Drosophila melanogaster: one gene and its partners. The protein of the gene in region 1 interacts with the protein of each later gene in a pairwise test. Each region holds a gene or a part of one and is shown on either strand. Other genes may lie near its edges.

The links. Proteins that work in one complex are often made in the same cells at the same time.
Region 2: the proteins of P32 (region 1) and CG4116 interact in a two-hybrid assay, tested with the Drosophila melanogaster proteins (2 studies listed by BioGRID).
Region 3: the proteins of P32 (region 1) and CG4617 interact in a two-hybrid assay, tested with the Drosophila melanogaster proteins (2 studies listed by BioGRID).

What each region holds. Positions count from the first base shown.
Region 1 is NT_033778.4:17,669,215-17,676,191, reverse strand, and holds P32 (P32), read left to right. Parts: upstream 1-3,551; 5' UTR 3,552-3,657; coding exon 3,658-3,862; intron 3,863-3,982; coding exon 3,983-4,327; intron 4,328-4,385; coding exon 4,386-4,627; 3' UTR 4,628-4,883; downstream 4,884-6,977. Other genes in the region: Sema1b (semaphorin 1b), read left to right, coding at 1-281, 355-1,365, 1,428-1,620, 1,684-1,882; IBIN (induced by infection), read right to left, coding at 4,967-5,092; CG30109 (uncharacterized protein), read right to left, coding at 5,686-5,805, 5,864-6,010; CG30108 (uncharacterized protein), read right to left, coding at 6,386-6,505, 6,560-6,706.
Region 2 is NC_004354.4:3,064,264-3,071,108, forward strand, and holds CG4116 (uncharacterized protein), read right to left. Parts: upstream 3,300-6,845; coding exon 2,505-3,299; 3' UTR 2,352-2,504; downstream 1-2,351.
Region 3 is NC_004354.4:7,100,204-7,108,138, forward strand, and holds CG4617 (uncharacterized protein), read right to left. Parts: upstream 4,289-7,935; 5' UTR 4,192-4,288; coding exon 4,158-4,191; intron 4,102-4,157; coding exon 3,589-4,101; intron 3,527-3,588; coding exon 2,817-3,526; 3' UTR 2,632-2,816; exon of another isoform or gene 2,507-2,631; 3' UTR 2,352-2,506; downstream 1-2,351. Other genes in the region: CG4615 (uncharacterized protein), read right to left, coding at 71-319; CG8300 (uncharacterized protein), read left to right, coding at 4,953-5,189, 5,591-5,911; fz4 (frizzled 4), read right to left, coding at 7,178-7,935.

The DNA of each region.
Region 1 (6,977 bases):
CTACAGGGAGAACCTGCGTACCGAACAATATGATCTCAAGCAACTCAACCAGCCGGACTTTGTTGGCGCCATCGAGCGCAACGGTTACGTGCTGTTCTTCTTCCGCGAACTCTCAATGGAAGTCATGAACTTTGGCAAGGCCGTTTATTCGCGCGTCGCCAGGGTTTGCAAGAACGATAGAGGTGGTCCCTACAGTCACGGCAAGAGTTGGACTTCCTTCCTTAAGGCGCGACTCAACTGCTCGGTGCCCGGCGAGTTTCCGTTCTATTTTGACGAAATCCGTAAGTTTTAATAGACGTTTTGGATATTCTTTACAAAAATTATAATCTCAATTGTTGCAAACTCCATTTACAGAGGCCATTAGTCCGATTGTGGAGAGCGGATCCAAGTCACTGATTTATGCTGTCTTCACAACCTCTGTGAATGCCATTCCTGGCTCGGCCGTATGCGCATTTAACGTAGACGATATACTGGCCGCCTTTGATGGAGAGTTCAAGTCGCAGAAAGATTCACAGTCCCATTGGCTGCCAGTGGAGCGTGAGCAAGTGCCGAAACCACGTCCAGGACAGTGCGTTGAGGACTCTAGAACTCTGACCAGCATCGCGGTTAATTTCATTAAGAACCATCCCTTGATGGAGGAGGCTGTGCCAGCAGTGCACGGTCGTCCGCTGCTGACCAAGGTGAATCTGCACCACCGACTTACTGCGATCGCAGTGCATCCGCAGGTAAAGTCCCTAAGTGGAGCTTACTACGATGTTATATACAGTGGCACCGATGACGGCAAGGTGACCAAGTTCATCAATATACTGAGCACTCACCCGAACTCAACTGTTGATCGCCTGAAGACAGTGGTTATATCAGAGATGCAGGTCCTTCCACTTGGAACGCCAATTAGGGAATTGGTGATCTCCACTTCGAAAAACTCGTTGGTTGTGGTTAGCGATGGCAGCTTGGTTAGCGTGCCCCTGCACCACTGCTCTCACATTGTCGACTGTCTGGGCTGCTTAAGTCTCCAGGATCCCATTTGCGCCTGGGACTTACAGACACACGAATGCAAGAACCTGGCTACGAGTCAGCACAAGTTCGGAACAAAGACTTATTTGCAAAGCTTGAATAGCACCAAGAAAGCCGCTGCCTTGCTATGTCCTCATATTCCCCGAGATGCACCCGGTGCGGAAACAGTAAGCTTTGTTACCATGGCTCCACCGCCAACAGAGGAGCAGAAGCTTTTGTACTCCAATGTGGGCTCGTCGCAGGGCAATCAGCCAAGCTTGGAACAACAGCCAACTGGTGGCGATGACTTTGGTTTGAACAAGATCACCCTTACGTCCATGGATCCCGACGATATTATGCCGAATTTGAACGGTTAGTACTAATATTTATTTTCCTAGGAATATTGTGGTTTAATATTCGCATTTCGTTGACAGATCCCCAAAAGTCTACGGCCAGTGTAGATGAAATCAAATATGCTTCAACGCCCAGCTTCATGCTACTTACAACTATCGTTTTCTTTACCTTCCTTGTGGGTGGAATCGCAGGAATATGCTGTGTGAAGGCTAAGAGCCGCCTGATGGAGGCCCAAATGGATGAAAGTCACCGCAATCATTTCGGCAAGCCAATGTAAGTTTTATCTTGGAAGATGCAAATCCATATTGGACAATTCTAATTAAATGGTTTTGACAGGCAATTTAAACATCAAAATACTGGCAAAGACATCAACCTGTTAATGGGCTCCAATGCCTATACGACCACACAAAAAACACCTAATCTGGATTTAGAAAAGGATCGCAGTCATGAGTGCAAAAACTCCACGGAACATTTGGAAAAAGAGCTGCCCTGCAAAACGTCAACGCTGACAAAAGTGAAACGCACTTACATCTAGTGGCCTTGTGAGGGCAGCCAACTGCAAAATTAGTCGAATTTCTATACTCTAAAACATATTTTCGTTGTTTATGTTGCTGTTAGTTATAGTAACCCCCCACCCAATTTGCGAATAATGTAAACGACAGTCTCGGATGCGTTTGAAACGCATCCGAAAGATAGGAAGCAGAGCTGTTGCGTCTTTTTTACTTAGCTTGTATTGTAATTTAATTTGATGTAAAATTTGCGTAAGCTTAGTTTCTTTGTCAAAATTTAGTTAAATTTATTGACAACGTAGTGTGCGGGCTGCCGCAGCCTGGAGCTAACCCGAAGCATTCCGCATTCCCCTGACGTCGACCTTTGCTGTCCAAAATAGGAGTGCCGGCTCTTGGCTACGCAGCCCGATTGTGTCGCCCCTTATGTGTACTCTTAATGTATAATCTTTAAGTGCAAATATTAGAGCTGTACAAATTTAATCACATATCATGCATACCGAAATCGAACCCGAAGCGGACCAGCCCCAATTATTTCTCGAAATTCAATCGAATATTCAACAAGTATTTTGTTAGACTGAATGATTAATTATTCTATATGAGTTTGTTTTGTGGAGAACTAACAGAATGCGACAGAGACTTTAAAGCTCTATGCTTTGTGGCTAACAAAAGCGTAAAATTGTATCTAACATAAGCTCTATAAGGAATTGAACATAGAATGTAATTAAAAGTACGAACTAGGCTAAGAAACGAAGAAAACTTCTATGAGGCTGTTTGATAAGAACTGACACCGCAGCCCCCACATCATCAGATGGAAAAACGCACAAGAAAGCGAAAATAAATGAACACTGCAACAACAGCAAGCCTTATAAATAGTATAAAATCGTGTCGAATCTAGGCCTTAACGCTAAACTTGTAAGCTTTGGATGGAAATAATGAGCTTGGTTGGCAATCAACGTAAATCAGCATTTTAATAATTTTATGTTTAATTTCTAAGCTGTTGTCCGTCCCACTAAAGAAGTTGCATAAATACAATGTACAATGGCAATTTTATTTTTAAAACGTGTAAAATGCAATTTTCATCGTAATTAATATATTTTTATACGTATATGTACGCCTAATGTCTAAATCTTAACATAAGAAAGTCTTAAAAATGGAAAATCCCGATAAAAGCTATATATAAAATATTTTTAAATCTTACAAAAAAAAACGTAATGTAATGATTTCTCATATTGTGATAGATTTTATTGAAATTTTAGAAAGATGAAATGATATGCCTTTTGGTTGAAAAACAATGATATATATGACGAACGAGTCTGATTGCATGCATGATAATATTGCGTAGGAATGGGTCTTCCACTCGGAGGATCAAGAACCAGAGAAAACCCTTCATGGTGTTTAGTTTTTATTACTGTGTATGTCCTTGTAATGTGTATATTGTTGTATACATCCGATAAGCAATTCGTAAATCTAATAAAGTCGTCATTTTTTTCATAACTCAATGTGGTCTTTTAATAGGTTCGGATCTATGAAACATTGAATTTTTACAGCAAATATGGTTTGGTTATATTTATTGAAATCAATCATTTTTCCAATAAAGGCTAATTTCAAAATTTGAATAGTTTACGATAAAGCCTTTCGCGCCGAAAAATGATCGATAACTTCTGATATGGCTCTACAATACATCAGCCTCGTGATTTTCTGAATAAGATTCAACGGTCACACCAGGCACTACACTTTTGGCGTGTTGCACATTTCAGTGTTTAATTAAAGTAAAAAGCCCAGGTCGCGGTTATATAACAAAATGAACAGCCTAAGGACAGCAACCATGCGATTTGCCGCTCTGGCCAGCTCCAGTGCCGGATCTCTCGGCAAGCGCGATTTCACCCGCAGCCTGTGGCACATGACCAAAAAGCCGGTGACAGCCGGAGGATCCGATCATGTAACCGTGTTGAATCTCCACAAGCCCAGCATTAATTGCACGTGCGGCTGCAACGTGCACACCAAATGTAAGTTAACTCAACAAATTCTTACATGGGCGGTCCATGCCGCCGGTTACATAACCTCAAACGTTGGGTGACGAAATGTTGACCAAAACACAGAAAATTAAACGCTTTGTTTATATCCAGGTGAGCGGGAACTGGTGGAGTTCCTCACCGAGGAGATAGTGGCCGAGCGCAAGGTTCAAAAGGGCAAGACGGTGCCAAGCACCCTGGATGGATTCGCCGTAAAACTGACCGGCGCCGATGTGGAGCTCACCAAGCAGACGGATAAGGAAAAGGTGGTGGTCAGCTTCAATGTGAACCATACGGTGGACAGCGAGGAGGAGCCCGAAATCAACCCCAATGCTGACAAGCCGGATCTCGGTGAAATGAGAAGCAAGCCCCAGTTCGAGGTGGACATCATAAAGGGCAACTCTACGCTGTCCTTTACCTGCAGCTTCCTTCAAGGCGAAGCTCAGGAGGGCGAGTACAGTGAGTACTTTGACAGAAATCGTTTTGATTCACCGATAACACAGGTTTTACCTTTCAGACGATGTCTTCTCCATTGATGAAATGGCCATCTTCGAGGGCGAGTGGAACGATAAGGTCTACGCCGTCGCAGGCGACGTGCTTGACGGTTACTTGTACGACTTGCTGATCAACTTGCTGGAGGAGAAGGGCATCAGTCAGGAGTTTGCCGAAAAACTGTCGGACCTAGCCACTGCCCATGAGCACACTTCCTACATTGGTCTGCTGGAAAAGCTCTCCAAATTCACTGCCGGTGGCAAGTGAATGTTCGTCCCACTTAATCTTAAAGCATAAAGTTGTGTAGGTTTTTAAGTTTCTATTGTCTGCTGTCGCAGTTTCATCACCTAAAACAGTTTTTATTAGTTGTGTTTTTGGTTTAACTGTGACAGTGAAACTTAGTTTTTAAGCCATAAAACATTCATACATGTTTCAGATAAAACTATAGAAACGGTTGCCAATAATTCACCCTTTTCGGCATCAGCTTCGCTTTGGTTTTTAACAAATACAACGTTAATTCCCTAGTTTTTTTTTTTGTTTATTTTCTTTCTATGGTTGCATCGATTTTTCGTAAAGATTTTCCTGTGGGTTGAGTTTCGTGATCATTTAGAACTGCCGGAAATATGGCCTGGGATCGTAGTCACTTGGTCGGTATCCTCCCCAGTCCTCGTGGTTCTTGCAGGCGGCGCAGATGAGGAGAGCGAGGAGCACGAGGATTGGCAGCAGTTGCATCTTGATTAACGGCAAGTTAACTTTAGATTGTGGTGCTGCAGCTTTTAATGCTCCTCTTTATAGGTGAGATTGCCTCACCTTATCGTTGAAATAGTGACCTTTCTCTTGGGGAAGTACTCCGATCTGTTTATTGGGCGATGGGATTTACCATTAATGTACGACCTATATGTGTTATTGTTTCACAATAAGCAGGATTATCAGCGTGGAGGCCATGTAATGTCATACTTTGTCATTAAGATGGATTTTATATATTTCGTTAAAAAGCTTTTTTTTATACGACCAATAATAAGAACTGCGACCATTACCTAATCATAGGCTTGTATATACTTCTAAGAAACTCAAAGACGGATTCTGTCTGAATATAACATTTTTTATAGTTCGCTACTTGAACTTATTTATAAAACATTCACTAAATAATTTACATAAGGATACGAGTCATGGAACTAAACCAAAGCTGCTTCTGGTACTTGGTAGACCTAGGCTGTTCCTCCACTCTGGTGTCGGCGCTGATTACCGGTGAGGTCATTGTGTCCCGGGTTCTGGCCCACTGTGGATTCAATGCCGTTGCCAGGATGCTGGAGCTGCGTAACGGGTCAACTTTTTGTCTTGGGTTGCGTCTTTCCGCCGGAACTACTCGCATTGTCGTACTCCGAGCCGGTGCAGTACTCAGATCCGACCTCCCGCAGCTCAATCTTTTGCTCCCTCATGGCGCGCTAAAGGTCAAAGATTGGGTCAACCAGCTGGATGATGAAACTTGAAACCTGGGCTTACCTTGACGCACTCCTGATAGACCCGGAAAATCGGCGCGCAGCCCGAGTCATCCGTCTGGCCCTTAAGGAAGCCTTCCGAGAACCAGCTGTTGAAGCAGGCGTCGTACTGCTTCTTTAGCTCATTGCAATCCTCGCCAATGCTGTTCATTTGTGGAGTGAAGCTCTTTGAGTTTCAGTTATAATTTCTCTATTGAATAATAAGTCGAAAAAAATGTGAGAATGGTTTGTGTGAGGGTCATACTACAGATAAGCTATCAGAGATGTGGGACACAGCATATCGATGTACGTTTCGTTGAAACTGAACGTGCTATCGAAATTTGAATTTTCAATTCTTTAAGAACATCTAATTTATTTTAATAAAGGCACTCTGGTTATAACGAAATCAGTTGTCCATGTTTCATGATGATACTATTAACAGTCAAAGTACTACGAAATGTTTCTCTTTACAAGTATTTTGTAGCGCGTGCAGCCACCAATTAACGCTGGCGAGGATTAGGATGGCTATATGGAGCAGCTTACGGGGTCAGCTTTCGCCCGCCTGCTGCTGTTTTGCATCAGATCTATTCGCATTATTCTCCTCAAGCCCGGTTTCGAAGATCGGATCTATCTCTTGCAAATCGATCTTCTTCTCCTTAATAGCGCGCTGGGGATTACAGGTTGGTCAAACCATACGTGGTTAGGGAGCCGATTAGCTCACCTTGACGCATTCCTGATAAACCCGGAAAATCGGAGCACACGCTGAGTCATCCATTTGACCTTTTAGGAAGCGTTCAGAAAACCAGCTGTTGAAACAGGCATCGTACTGCTGCTTCAGCTCGTTGCAATCCTCGCCAACGCTGCTCATTTGTTTACTAGGTATATTTTGGTTTTAATTTATAATGCCTATTATAGAGTTCCGAAAAAATGTGACAAAGGTACGTCGAACGGTACTACTGAAGAAAAGGTTTCAGAGATGTGAGAAAAAAAGAGCATATCGATATCCGAAGTTTTGCAGAAAACGAAGCTTGTCATCGAAATTCAAATGTTATTCTTAGTTTTCTTAAATTTTCAAAAGCCAAAGTGTTAAGCCGACTAAAATAATACTCTTGTTAGTACATATAAATTTAATATTAGTT
Region 2 (6,845 bases), on another chromosome or scaffold:
GTACAAATATATTAAATATAAATAAAATATCTTAAGAAAAAAAAGGGAAAAAATTATACATTTCTGACTTTGCCATGCTATTCACTAGAAATTTGCCACACAAAGTGTCATGATTATCGCTGGCAATCCCGGTGCTTTCTGGCACGTGACTCACGCACCCATTCTTTGACTCCCACATTCCCCGGATCCCTGGATCCTTGGATCCTTGGATCCTGGGCAGGATGCCCCACAATTATGCCCTTTCCTGACCACAGACGTGGACACTCTGCATGCCAAACTTTTCCACTTTGCAACTATTTCAAAAGTGAAGCGAAACTTGTGGCCCACTTAGTCGTCCGTCCATGTCCATACACACACACACAAACACACACACACACGGCTAAATGTATTTATGTATATATTTTCGGATATCCCGCCCGATGTCCGTGTGTCAACGCCGCAGTTTGGGTCTCCGACGTCGATTTCCAATGCGGTTCGTGTCTTTGCCTGCTGCATGATTTATGATTTCTGCCTCGAAAAGTATTTGTGGCATTCCATTTTCCCCCGCATTTGTGGCCCTTTCCTTGAGGTCCAAAATCCGCATCCCGTATCCCTTATCCGTATCCCCGAGTCCAAATCAGAAGCCAACTCAGTGGCAGACTCACTGCCAGAAGCGTTCAAAGTTGTCTACTCAAATCATTTTAATTGAAAATTACACATGAGCGGAGCCGAGGAGAAGTAAACTTTTAATCACAAGTAGGCGACTTTCGGAATGCCCTCTAACTTCTTCTTCGGCTCCATAGTATGTATATATTCTTTTATATTAATATAGTATATAGTATATAATATAAAATTAGCTAATTTTAAAGCCCAAGCTTTTCAGTTTCGTCTTTGTAGGGCAGCGAAATGTGCTAGACCAAAGGGAACCGGTGAGTGCTTCCAAGGGCAGTGGATGGTGATTTTGACTTTTAGCACAGCACATGTCCTTGGGCTGAGAACCTGTGTACCAACCACCGAACCATCACTCCCCCCCCCCCTCCACCAATTAAACCGTAAGACCCCACCCCTGGCTCCCCCCTGCCCACTACAGATTTTCCCCCAAAAGGTTTCGCGGGCTTGCCCAGGACCTTGGCTCTCGGTTTTTGGCCTGGCACATGGCACGTTTTGTCCGTACCGGAAATGTCCATTCACTTGCATATTAACAAAGTTCCGCACACTCACACACCAGTTGCTATTTGGTCTATGCAAATGCACTGCGAGAAATGGAGAAATGGAAATGGACTTGCGTTTTGGGGTATGTTTTGCATATAGATTATAATTCTGTTAAAACAGCACAACAAATAACCATTGCATACCAATTTCACTACATCAAATCTCAGTCGTCTGCACGTTTCAGTGTATGCTTGCTTGGCAGCAGTACTTAATAAACTCCCCAGGAAGAGACGCAAAAGAGAAGGCCAACCAAGTTGGTCGTACATCATAGGGTCCTTTTCCATATCCTCACCATGGGGGAGAGGCTATGCCAGGGTTTGTGGGGGCGGCGGCGGCGGCGGTGGAAAGGAAACAGGAAAGTATTTTGAAGGCACCGGAAACCGGAAGCAAGCAATAATTCAAATGAATTTCAAATCAAATCATTGCAAAACATTTACAAAGTATGTGCGCCAAAGCGCTGCACAAAACCGCACAAGAGCCAAATGCCAGCAAGTTCAACTTTGACTTTTGCCAGCAGCTGCAGGTGGGCGCCCACGCCTCCTCCATTCGGCCTCTTGCCTTCCACGCCCCTTTCCACAATTTTTCACCACCCATGCCACTATGGCCTTGCAGTGATTAATTTCTATTATTATGACACTGATTAGGTCCACTTACAGGCTCATTACAGTCATGAGCACATAATACACAGCCCGGACACGTGACGGTGATTTAGAGGTTCGCGAAATGGAACAGCGGCGCCGCACGAGGGGTCGTCCTGCTGACCAGGACGAGGAGCAACGGGCGCCACTCCCCGGGCGCCATCCTGCAGACATTTATCAAGACATTGACCGCCGCATGCAGAGCCGACCGGAGACCGTTTGTCTTGCACTTGACCAGGGGCTCACCAAGGGGGTTCTAAACGGGCCAGCGCACCTCGCAGACACACCGACTGGCGGCCCTTTGAACATGAACACCAGTTGGCCCATAAATTAGTGCAACTACGCCAAATCCACTGGCCTACACAAATTTGAGGCTTTGCAATCGCAAATTTGGTCGATTGGAAAACATACACAAGGTGAGAGCAATGATGTCCATGAAATATGCATGTTATACCAAAGCTAAAATTTAATTATCCATTTCACGCCTTTGCCATAATGACCTCGAATAAAACCACCTTGGTTGCAGAGTGTAATTGCTTTCAATCATTTAAATAAATAAATAAGGTTGCCTTCTCGCATACTAATAGTAATCATTAAAAAAAAAAAAATTCCTTGGCTGGGGGGCAAAAAAAAAGTAATTTTTCGCTTAACTAAGAAAGGCGGTGGATCCTCTTCTCAACCGCGATTTGGTCGCACCACCATCACCTGGGCCTTATTCTTGCCCCGCTTGTTGCCACGCCGGCGACGTCGCTGATTGTTGTTGTTAATGCTGCCACGCCTCTTGTTGACCCGGCGCCTACGGGCGGGAACGCGCCTCCTATTGTTCTGGCCACCGGGACGCACTCGACTGGACACCGCCTGGCCAACGATCTGCGGCAAGAGACCGGCAACTGGCGAGGATCCATAGATGACCTGATTAATGGCCGCATTGGTGGCCGACGAGGAGGAAGACGATGATGATGAGGATCCCGAACTGCCCAGGTTCACATAGATAGCTCCATTGGAAGTCGTGGTGACCAGGCCAGTTCCGGTTCCCGAAGTCGTTCCTGTTGTTCCCGTCGATGTGCCCGTAACAGCTCCCGTTCCCGTTGATGTGGTGCCCGAAGTGGGACGCAGTTGCTCCAGCATATCCTGCTTATTGGTTATGTACTGATTCAGGGCCGAGTTGATACCGGTGTTTGAAGAGCTGGTGCTGCTGCTGCCACTGTTCAAGCCCGATGCCAGGAATCTCAGCTGGCCATTTTCGTTGCCATCCTTCACATAGATGCCGGCCAAACGGGTATTTTGTTCCTTGGCCAGCGGATCCTTTTCGACCTTCTGGGCCATTGCTGGGCAACAACTGCCCAGCAGACAGAGCACTAGAATTGCGTAGATCATTTCTGGACGATGGACCATCGAACTGTGTGTGCCATTGGGCAGATCTTTGGCACTTTTATAGCCCAACATGAGTTGACGGAAATCGACTTTCATCGGTCATGGATGCCATGATGCCCGGAATTTTGCTTGCCAATATATATAGGTTATAGGTTTTAGAAAGCCTTTCTTCATTCTTCTCGCACCATTTTTGCTGGCCCCGAGGCCAAATAGTTGGACTTTTCAAGTGGCAAGAGCGTGTCAAGAAGTGCCCCTACTTGTAGGCCATTGTTTGCTTTGCCGCGGATCGTGAACCTCAAGTGGTCGCAGCCGAAACCGAAAAGCAAAACCAAAGCCAAAAACCAAAACCAAAAACCAAGGAGCCACACTTTAATTAAAATTTAAAATCAGCAACAGAAACACGTCTGCTTGCAGCTTCAGTTGGGGGTTTTTTCGGGCACAGTGGGTAATAATATAAATGGGAATTTGAAATCCAAATCGTATATTGGTTTTTGTACCTTTTAAGGGTTCTATTAGCAACGGAATACTGCTCTATAGCCGAGCAAATACTCTGCACGATACAAAGTTGAACCCATAAACCGCTGTTGCCCCTTTATGCACCCACTTAACGCTTTCTCTCTCTCTCTGAGAATTGCATATTTTCATTCACTCCTTTTTTTTTTTTTTTTTGGATCAACCGCTGTGAGATTGTGCATTCGGAATGGTTTCCATCACTTTGGCGCCAGTGTGCCGCAGATGGCGCCCCCTATTGGGGCGCATTTAACCCCCGGAATCCCCCTTTTTGCCAGCCTCATTTCATTTGCCGTTGATGCGATGCTGCCTTGCTGGTGGTGCCTTGCTTCTCAATTTTTCGCCTAAGTTGGCCAACCGACAGTTTTGGGGCTGAATGCCTGGCGGGGGCTGTTGAAATAAATTTCACTTACGCCAACGCTCACACACACGCACCAAAACTACACTGGCCAAAAACACAAAGGATTGCTCTTAAACTAAGAAAAAACAAAGAAAGGGGCAGCCATGTTAAGCATATATTTTTGTAATTGTAGCGATATATGATGATAGTATGTCCCAAATTCCGCTTTTAAGAACCACCAATTGTTTTCTGCCAGTGCAGCGCACACATGGAGCGCCACACGAACGTAGAGACACATACGAATGTCGCTCACTGTTCGCGGTTCGTCCTTTACTTGGCAATGCAATTACAGGCGCTAACCGCGCGTGAAAACAGCAACAGTGGCAATAACAACAACGGCTAAGGGAGAAACTATCCATCCACACCGAAGGGAAGCATATGCTCCTAAAATCATCTTTAAACCGGACTATCCACACGAATTATAATGCGCAGGCTAAACTAGTTTCAAAGCTAATATTAGTAGATAGTATTATAGTGATGTGCATTCAAATAGAACTGGTAATATCATATATATACTAACGTATAGAAAATAAATATATTGAATATGATCATACTTAATAATTTGTTTGTCAACTTAAAAGCTGTCAATTTGCTCAACGATTTGCAGTGACATTCGGCAAGGCAAGAGTATGTCCGATAGTCTTTCCTGCTCCTTGGCCTTCCTCTTGATTCACTTTATCCGGCACCACCTCTCGATTTTCCCCACCCCACACGCAAGGTGAGGCTTCCATTTCCCATTTTCCTGCCACTGAGCGGCTTAAAGCGACGCAATGACAATTAACAACAGGCGACGACAAAACGACAACGAAAGAAGGTGAGGCTAAAAATGGGATGGAGGTTGGGAGGTACTCAGAGGTACTTTTGGGTGGTTGGGGAAAATGCCATATCAATGACAGCACCAGAAGCCCGAGAAGAAAAATAAAGCGACAACTTCACGCCAGGACTCCTCGCAGGAGATTCCACCCACTTGCCAAACCACCACCCACAACCCACCACACAACATCCGACATCCAACAGCCAACACCCACCTGCCCCACACACTTACGCATATTAACAGGCTTGAATTTTTCAGTTTTTCGCAGACTTTTCCAGCAACACACCAACACACCAATAGCCCACCCCTTCCATTTTCATTTGCACGTGCAATTGAAGTGCAAAATGCGTTTGGCAATAGAATTGCCAGCTAAAGTTTTCCCCAAACCAACTCCAATTCCCGCTTTTACCCAGATTTCATTCTCTACCACAATACAAAACTCAGTTCCGTTCTTTCGTCTACTCAATTTTTATTTTTGCTCCACTTCGGTTTGGTTTTTGAAGGGAAATTTTTGTAAGTGAAATTTCAATGACATTTTAATGGAAATTGCAAATGAATGATGAAGTACGTTGGGGAGGGGGGAGGGGGGGGTGGATAGTGGAGGTAGGTGTACTTAGTGGCTTGGAAAACTGCACAGACCATCGGGGGGAATTACAGACTTGCATAATTGATGCCAAACTTAGGGATATCTTGGCACTTAGCAAGCGTAAAGCAGTGCCAAAAATAAAAAAAAAATAAGTGAAATAGCACAGAGAAACTCAAATGTATAGCAGTGAAACCTTTAAAAAAAAGAGGCTAAAAAACACTAGTTAAAATAGGGCTTATACATGGATATCAGGGGCCTAACTCTTGAATGGAATTTTAAAAAATGCATTCATTCAGAACGCGTTTTAATGAAATTTCCCGGCGACGCCATTCCATGTCATCCCGCTCCCGCCTTTAAAAGAAAACTTCACACAAAGGGATAAACTGGGCAGACATGCGAACAGAGTCCCTTCGATTGGGGAATAAAGATGCACAGATCCCCACATGGCATCACATCACGATTCGACTTTGCCCTCGTGTCTGGCGTCAGCTGTAGCTCAAAGAAGCTGGGGTCGGAAAAATCGAATTTTTGAAATTTGAAAGCTGGAATCGTTTGCCCATTTTTTGCCCATGTTTGCCCACCAATTAGTTTTTTTTGCCCACGTCCAGTTTTTGAGATATGAATTTTCGAAAAAGTTCGAAAATTTTCGAAAATCAAAAATTTCGCTTTTTTCAAATTTTTTTTTTTTAAATCGCAATAACATCGTTTGCCCACGTTTGCCCACCCTTTAGAATTTTGAAAAAATTTATACTTTAGGAAATATAAGGCTTTTAAGTTTACCTCGGTCTAATCAGAGAGTAAATCGTTTGCCCATCCAAATATTATCAACAAAAAACGTTTGCCCAACCATTATTATTAGTTTTTATCGTTTGCCCACCCTTTAAAAAACCTTTAACAAAAATTTTTTTTCGATTGCCCACATTTAAAATACAACCAATTTCCTTAGCCCACCTCTTTAAAATAAAAATTTCCAATAAAAAACGTTTGCCCACCATTTAAAACTAAATAATTTCGATTGCCCACCTTTTAAAACTAAATAATTTCGTTTGCCCATCCTTTAAAATTCATTTTTAACGTTTGCCCACCCTTTAAAAATAAATTATTTAGTTTTAAGAGTGGGCAAACGAAAAAAACAAATTTTAAAGGATGGGCAAACGAAATTATTTAGTTTTAAAAGGTGGGCAATCGAAATTATTTAGTTTTAAGAGTGGGCAAACGACAAAAACAAATTTTAAAGGGTGGGCAAACGAAATAATTTATTTTTAAAGGGTGGGCAAACGTTAAAAATGAATTTTAAAGGATGGGCAAACGAAATTATTTAGTTTTAAAAGG
Region 3 (7,935 bases), on another chromosome or scaffold:
TTTTTTTTGGATAGAGTAAATGTGGTTTAGGCGTCAGGTGTACTGTACACATACAATGTATAGAACTCACCTCCGTTGGCTGGTAGGCACAGCCGGGCTTCGCCTTGGCATTCTTCCACTTGACATTGCGCAACTGCAGTTTGAGATTGGAATTCGACTTGATGATAGACTTCCAGAACTTGCTGAAGAGATTCTCGAGGAAGGCGTACTTATGCTGCAGATCCTGCATCAGACTGAGGTCTCCATTGCCGTTTCCATTCGCATTGCGATTCAGTGTACGGATTCCACTTTCGTGGCCGCTTCCTTCGCTGTTGCTCATCGTGGATAGACTGTGGATTAGATTGTGAATTGGTTGTCCGATTTGCCAAATTGATTGATTGCCACTCGATTAGACAGACGACGACTAACCCGGCTAACCCAAACACCATCCACACTTCACCCGTTTTATGGCCAATTGATTATCATTCGTCTCTATCTTCGCCTTTTGGGCCTCGCCTCGAGTGATAAGCCAGCGCTTGGCCAGCTGCAATAATGGTTGGACAATGGAAATGGACGAGCGGCCGGACACTTGAGGCATTCCTGCATTGAGACTAATTTATGCTCATTGAGTTTCGCACAGACAACTTGCATACAATGGCCCAAGGTTGGGCGATTTTGACCCGATCCGCAATTGAAACCAGTTCTCTGATTGCCGGCCGCTTATCTCGCGTGTCGAGAACATGGCTCAAAGTCCGATTCGGATGAGATGTATGTATGTACAAATGAACATATGCCCATCCGCGGGCGCACTATTATGATTATGGCGTCTCTCGGAATCCGATTGCACTTTCAATCCAAAAGAAAAGGTTTTCATTCTCATTACCCGAAGAAGTTATAATATGATTGATTGTGTAAATGGCAATGTTTACCAATTATTTGGTATTTGAAATGCGAAAGGCGAGTTTTAAGCTCATCTTAAAGTTCAATTGAAATGAAAATGAGCTGCTAGAAAAACCACGCGTTCGTTTTACATAAAAACCTTGAGTTTTCCTTTTAAATTAGTTCATATATCTAGATAGTTACCAACGGGAAAACACGATATTCGATTCAATGACGGCGTGAATTTAATGAAACATTATAGTTTTAAGATCTGCCTGTATTTGCCCGCAATTGAGAGGACTCGAAACTTTGCTGGCTTGTCTGTTCTGAGTTATGACAACTTTTCAATAAACCAACGATGGTGGAATTAAAACACCTCCCAGTTCCCGGCGCCCCCAAAAGTATGCCCCATTGGGCGCGGTGGGAGGTCACGGGGTTGAAAAGCATAACGAACAAACCCCCCACCCCCCCTTCGGAATTTATCACCATAACGACTATGCTAAGCGGTATAAAAATAGATACCTCGGGCATTCCTTATATTGCCAATTACAAAACAGCGGGCGGGGAGCTAGTGCACTGCGAGAAAATGTCTGGACTGCAAATCGCAAGGTATTCCATTTCTTTTTAAGCTTTGAATTTAACAGTTACTGAATCGAATTTATTTTCTAAACAAATTGTGCTTAAGAATCCTTTAAAGTAATTCATTTCACATTCATGTTTTTTGGCTAATGATATTTCAGCTTAGTCTTAAACCTATTTTATCTTATTCAACCAATCTTTCCATCTTTTTTTGTGCCTTGCTTTACCATGTTATTTTTCTCAGTGCACAGGAAGATTGTTTACATCTCCCATTCAGAATCAATCGCCGCACTAATCCAATTTGTAGCGCTGCCGTCACGCAATTCGCCCCTACAACCTGACCGTCCACCTACACAAGTATTTTCCATCCCAATCACAGCTGCTGCCCCCCCCCCCCCCGGAAAATCCAAAAAAAAATGCAGGTGGAAAACTCACCGTTTTTTTGCTGCCGCGGATGTGGCTGCGGATGCTGTGCGTGGGCGGAAGCGGTGGCGGATGCGGATGCCGCGCTGACGTGCGGATCCGGGGCGGAAGAGGATTCGGAATCCCAGGCCCACGCAGGATTCTCAGGGACCCAGAGCTTGCTGCACTGCATCCGGGGATGTGGGAAGATTCGATTTGGCGTCCGTCTTCTTATTTACTTTCCGCGGACTGGCTAGTGGTGGGCAGGGCGGCGATGTAACATCGATAGCTCGCCGTTGTAACGGCAAGCCAAGTCATCGATGGCGCACCAGCGAAGTGCCATCTCTAGAAAGTAAGCAAATAATTAACGTATTTATAAATATTTAAAGTTTATATCTAGCTTATAGTTCCACTATTCGAACCTTCAATTATGGCTTATTTGAGATCATTTTTAAAAATATTTCACTTTTATAAAGATTTTTGGGCAGAGGAAGAAATCATCTCATATTTTTAGCTTTTATATTTATCTTTATTTATTACGTTTATTATAAAAAGTGCCTGCTTAATTTGAAGCTGAAATAAGAATCTTGTGATTCACATTTATTTCACTTAAGGATTATAGGATATTTAATGTTGCCTAATTCTACCAATGTTTCGATGATTTGTGCTTAAATGTTGCAAAAAACAAAAAGTGGAAATAAATAAGTGAACTACTAAACTTTTTAGCGTACGAATTTCAATTCAAGAAGCAAATAAAAAAAAAACTCAATTAGAGGGAGACCTTTTACTTACGATCTAGATGCTTCAGTTTATCAACTAGGCATATCTAATGCGATTAACTATTTCCAGGTTGGCCAACTCCTTACAAACATACAGATCCCGATGGCGACTCTAGTCGCCGCTGGAAGCGCAGCGGCCTGGTATGATTATATATATATATATATGTATGCATTTGCAGTTGCAATCCGGAATTTACTTCATAGTCCGGGCATTACGTAGGCGATGTTGTCGAGCGTGTCGGCCAGATTTTTGCTCAACTGCACATTGTTCTCCATGCCGGGTATTTGCGTGGTCATGCAGAGCAGCGGTCCCATGGCGCAGAGCAGGCTGTCGAGGAGCACGGACAAGCTGCCCGATAGCGCCACGTATCCATTGTGCTTCTTCAGTCGCTCGCCAATCACAGTCAGGCTCTCGCCGAGCAGCTTCAGATGTGCGGCCGCATCGATCACTTCGATGCTGGTCTTTTGCACCTCCTCCTGCTTCAGCTGACCCCCAGTCCGGCCGCTGACGTCCGCATCCGTGTGCACTTGCGCTTGTTTCGTCGCGCTCTTCGAGACCTGCGACCTGGCACTTCGTGTGCTGATGCTGCGCCGCTGTGTGTTGGTGCCAGTCGCTGCTGCTGCCGCCGCTGCGGCAGCCGCTTCTATTGAGGATTGCTGCCGATCGGCGGCCAGTTTTCGAGTGCGACTTGTTGTCGCACGGTTCTGAAAGATCGTCTCGTGCTGCGTGGCATCTGCCAGAGCCGTGCTGCCGTTGCTCGCCGGCTGGGTTGCACCGTTTGCAGCGGTTTTGTCGCGAGTTTTGGCCCTGGACGCCTCGATTTTGGCCTTGCGCCGCCAGGTGTTCTTGTCCCGATTGGAAACGTTCGCCCACAGCTCGCTGAGGCGTCTGGTCGCGCTGGTGAAGTCTGCAAGCGTGCGGGGAATGGTCAATAAGCGATAGAGAGCGCACAGATGTGTAGCAACCTACCTAGATCCTGGAGATCCTTCTGTCGCGCCTCCTTGGCCCACAGACTGTAGGCGGTGTAGCGCTGCTTGCCCTTGTCCTTGCGCTGCACCTTGGCACTCACCACCTTGCCGTCCTTGAGCACCTGCCGCTTGTTGGACTTCTCGCGCATGTAAAGACTCTGACGGACGGATGACTCTTGGCTGGTGGCCTCCGCCTGGACACCATCGACGATATCCTGCACCAGATTGTCCAGTTCATCGTCGGAATTCAGAATGGCCACGACCGTTGCCGTTGTATCCGGATGGAATTCCTCGCTATCCGAGATAATGCCATCATCCACGAGCATCTCCTGGTCAAGATCCAGATCACGCAGCGCATTCGATGGCCTGCCGCGGCCCGAATATCTGGCTGGCTGTCTGGCGCCACTGTGACGCCTTGTGCGCTTCTCGATCTCATCCGGAGATTCAAAATCCAACAATTTCGACGATTTTTTGCGTACGCGTCCGCTGCGCGAAACACCCGTCACCTGGAAATCTAATTGGGAATTTATGACCCCGATTCCATTGACGGCTGCCGCTTTTTCCACTCACCCTTGGCCACCAGGTGCGAGGTTGGGGACTCCATGTTTGGATACCTGCTTTGGAAGATTGGGATGCAATTTGTTGCAAAAAGAACGAATTAAACGAAGCAAACAAAACAGCTGTTTGGTGTGACCAGAGCTTTAAAACGCGATGCATTGCAAGCGATGGTTAAATATGGAACACTAGATAACCATTTTAGTTTTTGAATATATTGCTAAGTTAATAACCATTGCACCAGTCAATTGTACAGAGTAGGAAACCATTAAACTTAATTATTTAATAATATAATATTTTTTATTGTTATATTATTTAAATTATAAGCACAGGATGTGCACGCACAACTTAATTTTTTTATTATATTATTAATTATTTTTATAAACAAAAACATTTACGATATATACGACTGCAATTTCATTTTTATTACAATACATCTAAATTAATATCCAGTTAGCTTGCAAAAACCATCAGCTGGTCACACTGCCGCACCTTTGTTTTGTTTCGACTTTTTTTTTTGCTGTTTGAAAGCGGCTTTTAGTTTATCGATTTGCTTTGCACCTAACTGCGCCAAGCGCCCCATGGCACGCGATTCTCGCCGTTTGTGAGTCGTTTCGCCGGTGGCCCCCAACCCAAGGACATTTTGGCCCCCAGCCGGCCGTATACGCATTTGGCGTTGACCCGCGTCCGCTTTTTTCATGACCAAAACGGCGGCTGCGATTCAAACGAAGCTCAAGCGCAAGCAAAAACATTCGCGCAGCGTCAATCAATCGAGGCGGTACTTAATCGGGTTTAGAGCTATCCATAGCCATGTCAGCGGAGAGGAACAAGAGTGGCGAAGTACGCAGTGCAGCTGGAGGATTGGAACTGGCATCTGCGAGTGGAGCAAGTGCATCCGAGACGGACAATGTGAGCGCCCTTGAACTGCAGTCCAACAAGCGCATGCTGTACTTTAGCGACGGCGTCATGGAGGAGTTGTCCTCGGGCAGCGAGGACGAGGCGGATGCGGAAATGGGCGACAAATGCTACGACGTCCATTTAAACGAGGTACATACATTCAGCAAGGATTATGGGTGGAGTAATGCACTTCCGGCCATCCATTTAGTACATGGTCATGTAGCTGCATTGCTTGTTTACCTTTTTTAAAGCGGGATTGTCCGGATTAACACAGTTAGTTAAATTTGCTCAAGATTAGCCCAGTTCTCCTGATCCAGATAATAACTTTTCACTTTGAGCTCGAGACGTGACTAATGTTCGAAGCGAATTATGATAATAATGTGAGAAATTTTATATCTTTCAATGAAAATGTGTGTTTTGAGCTGTTTAAGTAAACAAACAGGGCCCAGGGCCACGAAAAAGATAAGCAGCTGCCACCCCCCGCCCCCCTCCTCATTGACCATTTAGCGTGACTCATTTAGCCCGCTTTTTTTTTTTTTGCCACCTTTTAGAGCGAAATGCCGCTGGGACCACGCCTGCGTTACAAGGCCAGCAGGATGGGCAACCGATTCCTGGCCGGCATCGACTATGTGGGCGGTGGGCTGGCCCACCTGCTTGGTATCACCAGCAGCAAGTATGCCAGCGAATTGGAGAACTACCACAGGGCCAAGGAGCACGGCGACGAGGACCTTGACAATTGGCACCCGCGGGCCATGTCGACCACGACCAGTAGCAGCAACAACAACAGCAGCGGCAACAACAATCGCAACGAAACCATCGTCCTATGCGAACCAACACGCAGCGAGGCGACCTTGCCACCCACACGGCAGTAGGCGCCCACTGGGCCACCCACTTGCCAGGTGGGTTGTGCAAGGTGGCGATTTTCTTGGCAGGAAGGCGAAACAAAATGCTCATGGAGTACTGGCGACACTTGGAGACTCTTTTACTTGGTAAAAACCATGCGAAACGAAATGAATCAAAACAGATATTAACTTTTCGACACTTTATTCGCTAGCAAATAAGTTATACATATACATATATGATAATAAAAAAAATACACATATAAAATACAATACAATACAATACATATACTGTTAGTCGCGGGCTCCATACGATTCGTATTAGCCCGCAATTGTATAAAGGTTAGTTAGTTTCTTAGCTAGTTAGTTGGACATTTAGAAGTAGGACTTTTTCTGTGCGAAAATCAGCAGAAGTTGAAGGAAAACCCTCAGTAATTCCGCCAAAGTTCGTTGCTGGAAAAGGACTCTTTTAAGGTAATTTCATGATATTGACTCGTTTCAGTTAAGTCCCTAAAGCTAATGGCACACTGAATACAATTAGGCATTACGGCTACGATTGCAATTGCGTTTTTTTTTTTCGATTGTTAAGTACACTTGTTTCGGCATCGGGAGAAGACAGCAAAGTTGGAAACCTAGTTTCTGGTTCCCATTTTTATTTTTTTGTTTTTGAAGACATGAACATGCGTATCACAGTATTTGGTTGCTGCGCGTTTCTCTCTCTCTCTAACTCAAAAAAAAAGAATTTATATAAAAATGCTAAATATATATATGTATATATGTGTTATGTACGCAAAGGCGACACACATTAAGTCCTAATGTCTAAAAGGCAAGAGCGATTATTGAATTTGGTTACACCAAAATGGTAAAAAGGCAACGCAAGGGGCAACTAATTAGGAGCAACATTAAGTACACACAGGAAAATAGGATATGAAGCCCATCTAGGGCAATTACAAATACATTGTAGATGACCTATGACCTCGCGATAAAGGCCCAAACTAAAGCACTAAGAGCACATTTCCGGGGTTATATACACAGTACATAGATCGGTTTACCCCATTGTGTTCTATGGACAGGCAAAGCAACTAAAATCGAAATAACGATATCGTTATCTCACGATCGTTTTATGACAAACAAATTGGACCGTTTCCCCACCCATTTAAGTTGCTTTGCCTCTTTCGATACCCGAAACCGCATTAAGTTATAGTAGAGGATTGACTTTGGCACAGCAGCTGCTGCAGGAACATTGACTGGAAGCAGGAAGCATTTCCTGCCCTGAAATGGTACCTAATCCAATTCCGTCTAGAGTAGCGTCTCATTGCCATACTGCTGCAAGTGGGGATAGTAGCTGCCGTGCTGGCTGTACTTTTGCGAGGCATAGCTACCTGGCGGATAATACAGCCGATGCGAGGATGTGGAGTGATGCTGGTGATTGTGGTGGGGATGGAACTGATGATGCTGCTGCTGCTGGTGATGATGATGATGCGGCGAATGGCGCTGCTGGTGATGCACGCTCCTGCCCAGCGAATAGTTGGACATCTGATTCAGCGATATAGAGCCGGTACCAGGCGAAGTCTTCAGTTTGTACGGACTTGGCGGCAACGGAACACTGGCCATAGAAGTTCGCACCGAATGGTAGGAGACCACCGTGCTATTGCAAGCCGCATGCGATCCACGCGAGCTACTATGCCCGTCCAGGTGTCCAGTTGCTGCTCCGGCAGACGTATGCTTCACCATTTTGCCATTGCTGACTTGCCTCTTGTAGAGAGTGGAAATGCTTGGTCCAAGTACCCAGGCAAAACAGCAAATGCCCAGCATCAGTTCCATGAAGGCGCGCAACAAAAATGGCCAAAGTGGCGTATTGGTATCACCCGATCCCAGCCAGACATCGATGTTGGCAAACTCGTAAATGACAGCCAACAGAAGCATGGCACATGCAAGTCCATAGATGAAAAGGAATATGCCAATGCCGGAACTACTGTGTGCGCTTAGCTGTTGCAGTTGCTGTTGCACGCTGAGTGCATTGCTATTCCTCAGGATCTCCTTGGTGCGACAGTGTA